Linked DNA regions of Schizosaccharomyces pombe. Changing the gene in region 2 together with the main gene of any one other region gives a genetic interaction. Each region holds a gene or a part of one and is shown on either strand. Other genes may lie near its edges.

Region 1 (6,591 bases), on a different chromosome or scaffold from region 2:
ATGCGAGTCATATTTGGCCTTTTATCCTTAAACGCTACCGAAATCCACGGTTCATTGTCGCAAGAACAGCGTGTCCGTGCTTTGGAAGACTTTCGTGATGGAAAATGTAACTATTTGTTGGCTACAGATGTTGCATCTCGTGGTATTGATATCAAAGGCATTGAGGTCGTAATAAATTACGAAGCTCCAGCTACTCACGAAGTTTATCTTCATCGTGTTGGTCGTACTGCTCGTGCTGGCAGGAGTGGTAGAGCTATTACATTAGCCGGTGAGGGCGATCGCAAAGTTCTTAAAGGTGTATTCAAAAATTCTTCAGCGCAAAACACAAAATTGGTCAACCGTAATCTGGATTTTAACAAAGTTGAAAAGTTTGGTAAAGAAATTGAGGAATTGGAACCTGTTGTTCAGAAAGTGCTAGATGAAGAAAAACAAGAACGAGAAGTATGTTGTTTTTATAAGTATATAAATTTTTTTTCTAACAAATGTAGCTAAAAATTGCCGAACGCGATTTAAAGAAAGGCGAAAACATTATGAAATATGGTGATGAAATTCGTTCTCGTCCAGCACGTACCTGGTTTCAATCCGAAAAAGATAAACAAGCTTCTAAAGGTATGTGACATTGAAATAAAAAAATATGTTTGCTAACATTATAGCCTCCGAAGCGAAAGATAAAAAGTCTTTAGCTAAAAGAAAAAAGCAAATGGAAAAGGAAGAGGTGCCCCGAGCATACAAGAAGACAAAGAATGATAGACTTAGCAACAAAAAGTCTACAAAAAAATCGAAATCTAAGCGCAAATAGGTGAATACGTGAAAGGGAGAAATTTTCAAATGATAAGTGTTTGGTTAGGTTTTGAATTTTTTAGATACTAGATTATATTAGGGTTTCATATGTATAATGGAAATTGGGTTTTGTGTCTCATGGGTAACTTGGTTAGACCTCCTTTACAAAAAGCTCGTACTTTAATTTATATAATAAGAATAAAAGCGTCCGTATGTGTAAACAAAAATGTAATAATTATTCCTTAGCAATTAATTTAAAGGACAAAGTCTATCTAAACTATCATATACCCAACCGCAATGTTTTGTCATATTGTCTTGTCAACATGTCATAATATTAATTTAACGTTTTCTTCGACTTCGGGGCACAGCAATTTTACGGCCCGGGGGCGCATTTGTTTGTGAGTTAGAAGAGCCCAAATTGAATTGAATACCATTGGGCGCTGGTGATTGTGAGGCACTTGCATTAAAGGCAGACGGAGTAGCCGCACCGAACGAAAATCCGGTACTAGGTGGATTACTAGCTGGATTACTAGGTTCTCCTGACCCGAAGGCGAATGCTTGTGATGCATTATTGATGGACCCGGATGGGTTGGGAGTGTTTCCAGCGCCAAACATAGGAGCCGCAGTTGATCCAGCATTTGATGGAGTGAATGTAAAACCTGTACTAGGAGGGTTATTAGTGGCAGTATTAGTAATCCCTCCAAACCCTGCAGGAGCTGCTGGGTTCGTGCCTGACTGGTTGCCAAACGCAAACGCGGAAGACGGGGCCGGCGTCGATGTACCAAACATAGAAGCAGGCTGAGGCGAATTGTTAGCACCGAACGAAAACCCAGACTTAAAGCCAGACGCAGGTGCCGTATCTCCAGCATCCTTAGCCATGGGAGTGTTCTCTTCCTTATTCATACTAGAATTTGATGCTCCAAAAGAAAATGCAGACGTAGTGGGAGCAGGAGCAGAAGCAGAAGCAGCTGGAGCGGTTCCTTCAGAGGTAGTCTTTGAAGTTGCAGACCCAAAGCTAAATGCCGGTTTATTTGATGTACCAAAAGAAAACGGTGCCGTAGACGAATTTGTAGAGGGATTGTTGTTACTGGATGCTTTAACACCACTATTGTTTCCAAATGAAAAAGCAGGTGAAGGAGTGGTAAGATTCGAAGCAGAATCTTTGCCATCAGCAGTATTAGTCGAGGGTTTAGGTGCATTAAAAGCTGATGCAAAACTAAACGGCGCATTAGCAGTTACTCCATCAGTTTTAGAAGATGTATCCAATTGAGGCTTCGTAGTTTCATTTGACGTTGAGGCTTTTTTGTTTGCCTGTTCTGTAGTGGAACCGAAGGAGAAAGCAAAAGGCTTTGCATCCTCCGTTTGTTCCAAAGTTCTCTTAGTAGCATTGCCATTCGTCTTCGTTGTATCGTTAGGAATGTTATTCTCATTTGTTTTTTCAGATACAGCAGCAAAGGGAGATACAAAATTAAAGGTTGAAGAGGGCACAGCGTTATTAGAAGATACTGAATCCTTTATTTCAGAAGCTTTTGGACCTGTTGGAGGGACCTCTTTTTCAGTTTCCTTTTGCTTTACGGCTTCTTCATTAAAAGTTTTTTCAGGTAGCAAATTGGTTTTGGCATCCGTATTTGGCTTGGTAAAATTAAATGAAAACTGAGGAGCAGTTGTTGTTACATTTTCAGTATTAGGTTTTGCAAACGAAAATGGAGTAGAAGCTTTAGCTGACAAACTGTCATTCGCTTCATCTTTCCCTTTTTTAGCAAAAGAAAAGGAATTTGTAGGTGGGACTTCTTTGGACTCCTTGGTCAAATTGAATGAAAAGGGTGATGAGCCTGCGGTATTTCCAAAACCCGAGGACGGTTTTGATTCGGGAGCTGACGGTTTTGACTCAGAAGCAACAGTAGAACTAGCTAGACCATTTTCAGAAGTTTTTTTGTCATTGAAAATATTGCTTGTTGGCTTTCCAAAACTACTTCCAAAATTAAATTGTAGCGTAGGTTTTGTTGTGTCTTGTGTACTAGAAGCATTGTTTAAAGAGAAATTGAACGTAGGAGCTTTCGTTTCTTCCTTCTCTTCAAGGGTTTTAGGTGCGAATCCTCCAAAGCTGAAACCAGAAGTTGAAGCAGGAGCAGACGGAGCGTTGTCCTTCTTTTCTGTTTCTTCTCGTTTTGGACTTAATTGAGAAAAAAATGAAGGCTTGTTCTCAGTTATACTTGGCGTCTCTTGAGTCTTTGACGGTAATTGTGCAAAGAACGTTGGCTTGGGCTCATTCTCCTTCAAACGATTAGTTTGCACATCAGCAGTAGCAGTTGGCTTAAACTCAAATTTGGGTACATTTAATTTTTTGTCCGTGGTAGCTTCAGTCTTCGGTTCAAACTTAAATTCGGGTACTGAAAAGTGAGAAGATTTGATTTCCTTAGAAGGTGATGGCGGTTCAACTTCGGACTTTCTAGTTGTAGATTCTTTTGTCGGCGATGAGGAAAATTGGCTTTTGGGCGCTTCTGTATCCTTTGACAATGGCTGATGTTCAAAGGTTTTATTATCCTCAGCGTTCGCGAGAGTAAGTGCCGTATCATTCGGAGAAGTCTTTACAGGCTTAGGGGTAATAGAGGCTTGAAGCTCTTCAAAGGTAGGGGCGGACTTCGTCAATAAACCCTTGTCACTTGTATTATCCTTGGGAGATGCTATTATAGGTTCTAATATACGCTCAGATTTTGGATTTTGTTTGGGTAATGCGGTGTAATGAACGTCATCTTCGCAAGCAAAGATTTCATCCAAATCCTCATCAACTGCAGAAAAAGCCTTAATATGACCTTTCTCGAGAGTCTGACGCTTACGCGAAGTGGGTGTACTTAACCGGTGATAAATATCTTGCTTATCAATAAACATTGTATTACCGGGGTTGGAATCTGTCTGAACTTCTGCATTGACTAATACAGGCTTCCTTAAATCCATCTGTTCAAGAGTTTCATAAATGATAGGGATAAGCCGCTGGTGTCTACGACGTCGCCGAGAGGAGCGGTGAGGAACGTGATTTTTTGCTGAGACCTCTGTTTCGCCATTCTCCTTATCTCTAATGTCGGTAAGACTCTTATGGGAATCATTTCCAGAAAAGCTTTTGTTCTGCTTAGCTGAGGGCTCGTTTTCAGAGGCACGAGCAACAGATTTCTTTTTGGAAAGCATAGGACTGGGACTTCTAGAAGGCTTGCGCTTCTCACAAGTAGGATTAGCTTCGGTAATACGATCTTGTTTTACACTTGATATATTTAAGGTATTTTTCTGCTCATCGTGAAGTGACCGAAGGATATTGAGCAATGAAGCAGAGGATTTGGGAGTTGCAATTTGATGTTGAGAAGTGCTGCCCAACTTTTTGGATAAAGCAGAAGAAGGATGAAGCGAATTAAGTGATTTTAACGACAACTCGTCATGGCGTTTAAAAAGCGTTGGGGAATTAGTATAATCTTGCTTTTGCTTTGGCTTCCTAGGTTCAAATGTATTCGTATGAACTTTTTCCTCTATTCCATCAATTGTTCTAACATGGCTCCGATTACTAACGCGAATAATTCTTCTATTTAATGTTAATATGTTTCACGACAAAAATGTCAACTTACGGAGATTTTCCTAAATAATGAGGTGTTAACTCTGGAGTAAGCAGGCTTTTTGTACCTGCTCTTCCACTCTTTCTATCCTTGCTAGCCGTTCCTGAAGCTTTCTCGTCTAGACCACTGGTGAATGGGTGCAAAACAGATGAAAATGCCCGTTTCAAGACCGTAAAAAAGGGCCTTGAGCTCCCCTGAGGTGGGTCATAGGGTTTCTTAACAGTCTTTGATGAAGTGCGAGTATTTTTTGAAACAGGAGGCATCAATACAAACTCATCGACAACTACTAGAAGACGTTGGTTAATGAGAAGTAGCGAGTTTAGTTACGTGGCAATTATTTTTCATGCTAATGACTTATTGATTGTCTGGTAGCGCTATTTGTTATATGCCAATATCGTAGTCGTAGGAACTGTACGACTATTGTAACACGTTTCGTAAAAATGTTTAATACGAGAAGAAAGGGAGTTATTTGAAGGTGTTAAGCAAGATGGAATATGTTAATACAATTTGTTTTCGGTTTAAAAAAATGGGATATCAAATTCTATTTAATCTCGTTACCAGTAAAGTGGTGATTGCAACAGTAGTCCACGAGCCTTAGCTTCGTCAATATTCGCTTTATCAAGTTTTAGGCTGTCTAATATTCTAGCAACTTACTTGCAATACTTAAATTCTTCCGTTTAAATCAGCTTACATTGTATGAAGAAATGATTAGTTCTATTTTCATAGAAAAACACTTAGGCACGTACTGTCTAATCGTACGTAATTGGAATTTCGCTTTACTATCATCTATAGTAGTGTTGATTAAAACAAGTGCCTCCCATATAGCAAGGCAGCGTTCATTGCTAATCATATTATGCAAATATTCACTTAATTAGTATATTAATCAAAAAAAAGCTACCAATATATACCTATAGTAACTGAATAGTGGGATCACCTCATATAACTATTAGTATGTGTCTACTTATTACTGAGATGTCACATACTATGTAGCTATTTGAATATTTCATAACCATCAATTCAAAAATTGGTGGAAGACAAATGTTTTTTCCTATTTTTCTATTCCTAAATTGTATACAAAGTAGTTCGTTATAGAGATCATTGAAGGCATGGCAAAAATTGTTTACTAGACATTATGAATTTCAGTAACAGATCTTTGGTTCAATAGTGGATAAATAATATACTCAATAAATATAAAACCATGAAAATCTTAAATATAGCAAATTAACTAAGGCATTGAAAGAAATTTGTCGATCCTGGTTCTTCCAAACTACTATTAACGTATATTCAACTTAAACTTCAGCTTGCCGTTTACCAAGCACTGCATATTTGGGTTCTGCCAGCTTTCCCTTTCTATTGTCATGATTTACGCTGTTTTTATATTTAACAATAAAGGGAAACCTCGTCTCACAAAGTTTTACACTCCAATTGATGAATCCATTCAACAAAAGTTAATAGGAGATATATATGCAGCTGTATCCACTAGGCCCCCAACCGCTTGTAATTTTTTGGAAAGTAATTTAATTGCAGGTAAAAATAGAATAATTTATCGCCAGTACGCTACTCTCTACTTCGTTTTTGTAGTAGATGAAGGTGAAAGTGAACTAGGAATTCTCGATCTCATTCAAGTAAGTTGAAATTAGTTACTTTCCAATTTCTAACTATTAAAGGTATTTGTTGAAGCATTAGATCGATGCTTTAATAATGTTTGCGAGCTTGATTTGGTAAGTACATTTCACTACTCGTTTATCTTCCCATTATCCTACTGCTATATGTTTGAAACCATTGATTCCGTTTTTTTTTATTTAATTTGTTTTTTTCTTATTTGGTTTCGAATGTTTGGAAATTTGGCCTTACAAGAAACATTAATGTTTGTCCAATATTCGATTATCAAAAGAGCATAACATTTATTTTTATCATTTATTGAACTTAGGAACTACAAGAGTTTAATTCCTAATTCCTTTACTTCTCATCGCCTTCAAGAAAGAAATTATGCATAGAACTGGAAGTAGAGTCTCATTGTCGATGATTCGCAATCTCCAATGAAAAAAAAGAGGAGGTGTTAGTAATAATTATCCAAATACAAGTGTATACGCCAAAAAAAAAGGATATTGAAGGAAGAAATAATTAGAAGAGTTGAAAGCCATCTGTTTGAAAGCGAATTAGAAAGATCTAACACAATATAGGTTTTTAAATTCCAAGAAATACATGCTAT
Region 2 (3,986 bases):
AAGTACATTGCTTTGGAAGGAAGATCTGGCCATATAAATTTACTGCATGCTCTTACTGGTCAGTTTGCTACAAGCTTTAAAATTGAAGGTGTACTTTCCGACGTTTTGTTCACTTCTGACGGGTCGGAAATGTTGGTGCTTAGTTATGGTGCGGAGGTATGGCATTTTAATGTTGAGCAACGTTCAGTCGTTCGTCGTTGGCAAGTTCAAGATGGTGTATCTACCACTCATTTTTGTTTGGACCCATCTAATAAGTATTTGGCAATTGGTAGCAAGAGTGGTATTGTTAATATATATGACCTCCAGACATCCAATGCGGACGCTGCACCAAAACCTGTCACTACATTGGATAATATTACTTTCAGCATAAATAGTATGAGCTTTTCTCAAGATAGTCAAGTTTTAGCTATCGCATCTCGAGGAAAGAAGGATACTCTACGACTCGTTCATGTTCCCAGCTTTAGTGTGTTCCGTAATTGGCCCACCAGCGCTACGCCTTTAGGCAGAGTTACATGCCTAGCTTTTGGTAAGGGTGGTGAGTTATGTGTTGGTAATGAAGCTGGAAGGGTTGGACTTTGGAAACTAGCTCATTATGATTTGAAGTTTGTGCCAGATAAAATTATTAATTGGGAAATACGGTTGGGCAAATTTGGATACGTTTTATTAGGGATTCAAATCTTAATACTACATGTAGACGTTGTTATATTATAGATCAATGCATTACATTATTATTACTAAAAAGCTTTAAGCGAAATATAATAAAATTCAAGTCCTTATAGTACCTTTTTTATACCTAGGTTCGAAACACTAGTAAACGATTGTTTAATATGAGCCGATTCATTTTTCTGCTGTATGTTCTCTTCAACAGAATTTATAGAAAGAGGAAATCTATTACACGTTAATGGAGTCAATATCAGACTCCTAATTTGTTTGTTTTTTTTTGGTAAATAAATAGTAAACGTTCACTGAACACCGTATTTTTGCTTAACTTGTTCCAAGGCGGCATACCTTGCTGCCAAATCTTGACCATCAACCTTAGCTCTTTCAGGGTTATAATAATGCACTAAAAAAAAAGTTAACAAGAAGATATTAAAAAGCCGTTAGAAAGGAGAAATTAAAATTAATAGTAGCTAATACATTCCCTAAGATAACGTACCAACCAAGTATCTATCCATGAAGTTGTAGCCAGAAAGCTTTTCGCAAGCTCGACGAGCGTCTTGAACGTTTTCATAAACCACAAATGCAGTACCTCTTGTTTGAACCGTATTCCCCAGCCTTATTTGTCGTACAGGACCATACCTACCAAAAAGATCGTACATCTCTTCTGCTGTAATTTTAAAAGACAAGTTCTTGATGAATAGGATAGAATTGACTTCTTGATTAACTGTAGATGGAGGCATTTGTTATTTTTACGATCTTAACACTTTTTGTTAAAAAAATCAAATTTCGAAAAGAAATGATTTGGTTTGCTTTGGAAAGGATAAATATTCCTAAAAGGTTGGTTGGGATCAGATGGAAAATACTCGTTATCACAGCTTGGAGATTGATGTTGTATAGTCAATCCTATACGTGAGTTTAATTATAGTAGAAAAGATTGAGACATGAATATTAAAGGTTACGTTTCGTGGTTTGGACAAGAAGAGGTATATGCTGGGAAATCGAATGGACCAACAGATCGTAGACAAAACGGTTCAACCTTTTACCAAAATTTTCCTCTTCTTTTACCTGGTAACTCCAAATGTCAAATGCAATCCTTAGTTCATGAGATCTTTGATCAGAGTTGAAACTGACATGGCGGTGATTTCAATAGAGAGTCAATTTAAAGTGATTTTCAAATTATACATAACTAGTTGAAAATCATAAACATTTTTATTGGTATTTTTTGCTTCCTCGTTTGTCTATCCTACAGGAAATAGGTTTCAACTTTAAAACTGACAATTGCAAAGAATAGTTTGATAGTATAGTTGTATCATCAATTTATATTTTTCCTTATTTCTTTACTTTCTTTTAACTTATACTCTTGTTTGGCAATGGGACTTTTATCAAGGAAACAATTTGGTATCATTGATCTTTTGCCTACAGACCAACTAGTTCATCAATTTCTTCTCAAGTTCTTTTGAAATTTCTTAAATTTTTTATTTCCTGATCCCAGAAAACTACATCTGCAAAATTAATGATTCATTTTACGCTTCCAATGCCATGCTTTCGTATATAAGTGATAGCAACAGAGACACTAAAGGGAAAGGATAGCTTTGTTGAATATGTGGATCTTACTGTACTTCATTTTATCTAATTTGAAAGATTTCTCATTGCTCTTTGCTTACAACTGCTCTTAATTGAGAATGTGCTGCATTGCAAATGCTGTTTTGAAGCAATTTAGGAAATTACAGAAAAAAGAAACTATAGTAGCGTTTACAATTTCGAAAACTATACTAATAATTTTAACTAATGAAGCTAGCTATATTCATTATGATAAGCAGGAACTAAGTATTTAAAAAAGTAAATAATGTTGTACAAAAACGAAATAAACCAACTAACGTTAAAGTACGAAATTAATTGACTCATCTATAACCGTTCTTTATTTTTTTTATTTTTTCAATGAATAAAGCTATTGGCATTGATTGCTAATCTGGTTTGATATATGATATACATATTTTTCTTTTTGAAGTATTGAACAATTCTTTTTACGCTTCTAGTAGATTAATTACCATTTACTCTTTTTTTAAAAAAAATAAATAAATAAATAAATAAATAAAATTTTGTATATTCAAGTGGTTTCTGCTCATTAGCCTAATTCGCAAATAACTCTAGTTTAACATAAAATTTAACTTGACGAAATGCGAAAAATGTCTTGTACGACAAAATTTCAAGAGTTAGGATTGAGAGAAGAATTAAAAAACAATAGAACAATAAAACTATTGCACGTAACCCCTAAAACTTGTTGAAATTGGCAATGTTGATTAAATACCTATATCTGAATTAATTTACGAGAGAAAAAAACCTAAACGAAAGATTAATAAAAGCGCATATTTAAGGAAAAATTTTTCTATGAATAATTTCTCTTTTCATCCATTAATCGCCTTCTTGACCCATTTCTTCTCTTGTATTTACATTTTCATCTTAAGTAACACGTCACCTACATCAAGCATCCAGGTAGTCATCGTGGCAAGCATGAATTTGCTCTTTCCCCATATTCGCTACTGAGGTGTGCAGCCCTTCCGCGGCGTCATTGGAACTTCCACTGGGCCGGAAAGGCAAGAAGGATAATTACGGTTTTTAACGTTGAATACGCAAATATTTATAACGAAACGGTGGTTGAGAACTCGTAAATTGAATGAAGAAAATTTGATAAAGGTCGATAAATTTATTTAGCGATAATTTAACGATTTTACCGAGTTAACAAATTAAAGATTTTAATTATTTTTTAATATATTTGTATAAGTGAACAAATAGGTTTGCTTCGCCGTCTTTTTCAACTTGTCGGAAACAAACAATTATCTGGAATTTTTTTTTACTCGCACTTAGATTCTCCGCGTTTTATACGCATATACTAACAAGGAAAGGAATTTAGCTAATCGATAGATTCTGGACCTTTCCTTCTTTGAAACACATTTTCCCCCGTTGAATTGGTTTTGTTTACATTCAAATAAGGTAAAAGCACTCTTCCAATTGAAGACTATAGAGCTCTAATTCGATCGTTTTCTTTGAAATTTTTAAAAATTACTATCATATGAGCGATGTATTCTTTAAAAGATTTGTGCATCCAAGTCGCGCAGAAGCATGTGCACGACATCGATGATATTGGCGATTGCCCATTCGAACTCGTAAAACCTATCCTGGAAAAAGCTAGACCAGAACATTTAATAGACTTGGAAGAAAAGTCGCCTCATTTGAAAGTTGACACTCAACCATTGTGGAAAGATCACGTTTTGCGTGATTTTGGATTAGAACTTCAAAAACGAACTATATTGAACAATATTGATGAT

What was found. Genes that interact genetically often act in the same process or in processes that back each other up.
Region 1: mutations in sap14 (region 2) and nup124 together harm fitness more than expected from each alone (negative genetic interaction), as found in Schizosaccharomyces pombe (one large-scale study listed by BioGRID).

What each region holds. Positions count from the first base shown.
Region 1 is NC_003424.3:1,110,265-1,116,855, reverse strand, and holds nup124 (nucleoporin Nup124), read right to left. Parts: upstream 4,682-6,591; 5' UTR 4,643-4,681; coding exon 4,392-4,642; intron 4,349-4,391; coding exon 1,120-4,348; 3' UTR 988-1,119; downstream 1-987. Other genes in the region: ddx27 (putative ATP-dependent RNA helicase Ddx27/Drs1), read left to right, coding at 1-441, 489-609, 654-799; AP-3 adaptor complex subunit Aps3, read left to right, coding at 5,738-6,004, 6,047-6,100, 6,563-6,591. UniProt on the Schizosaccharomyces pombe protein: Nucleoporins may be involved in both binding and translocation of the proteins during nucleocytoplasmic transport. In S.pombe it is required for the nuclear localization of retrotransposon tf1.
Region 2 is NC_003423.3:2,049,296-2,053,281, forward strand, and holds sap14 (Pre-mRNA branch site p14-like protein), read right to left. Parts: upstream 1,474-3,986; 5' UTR 1,401-1,473; coding exon 1,157-1,400; exon of another isoform or gene 1,064-1,156; coding exon 963-1,063; 3' UTR 702-962; downstream 1-701.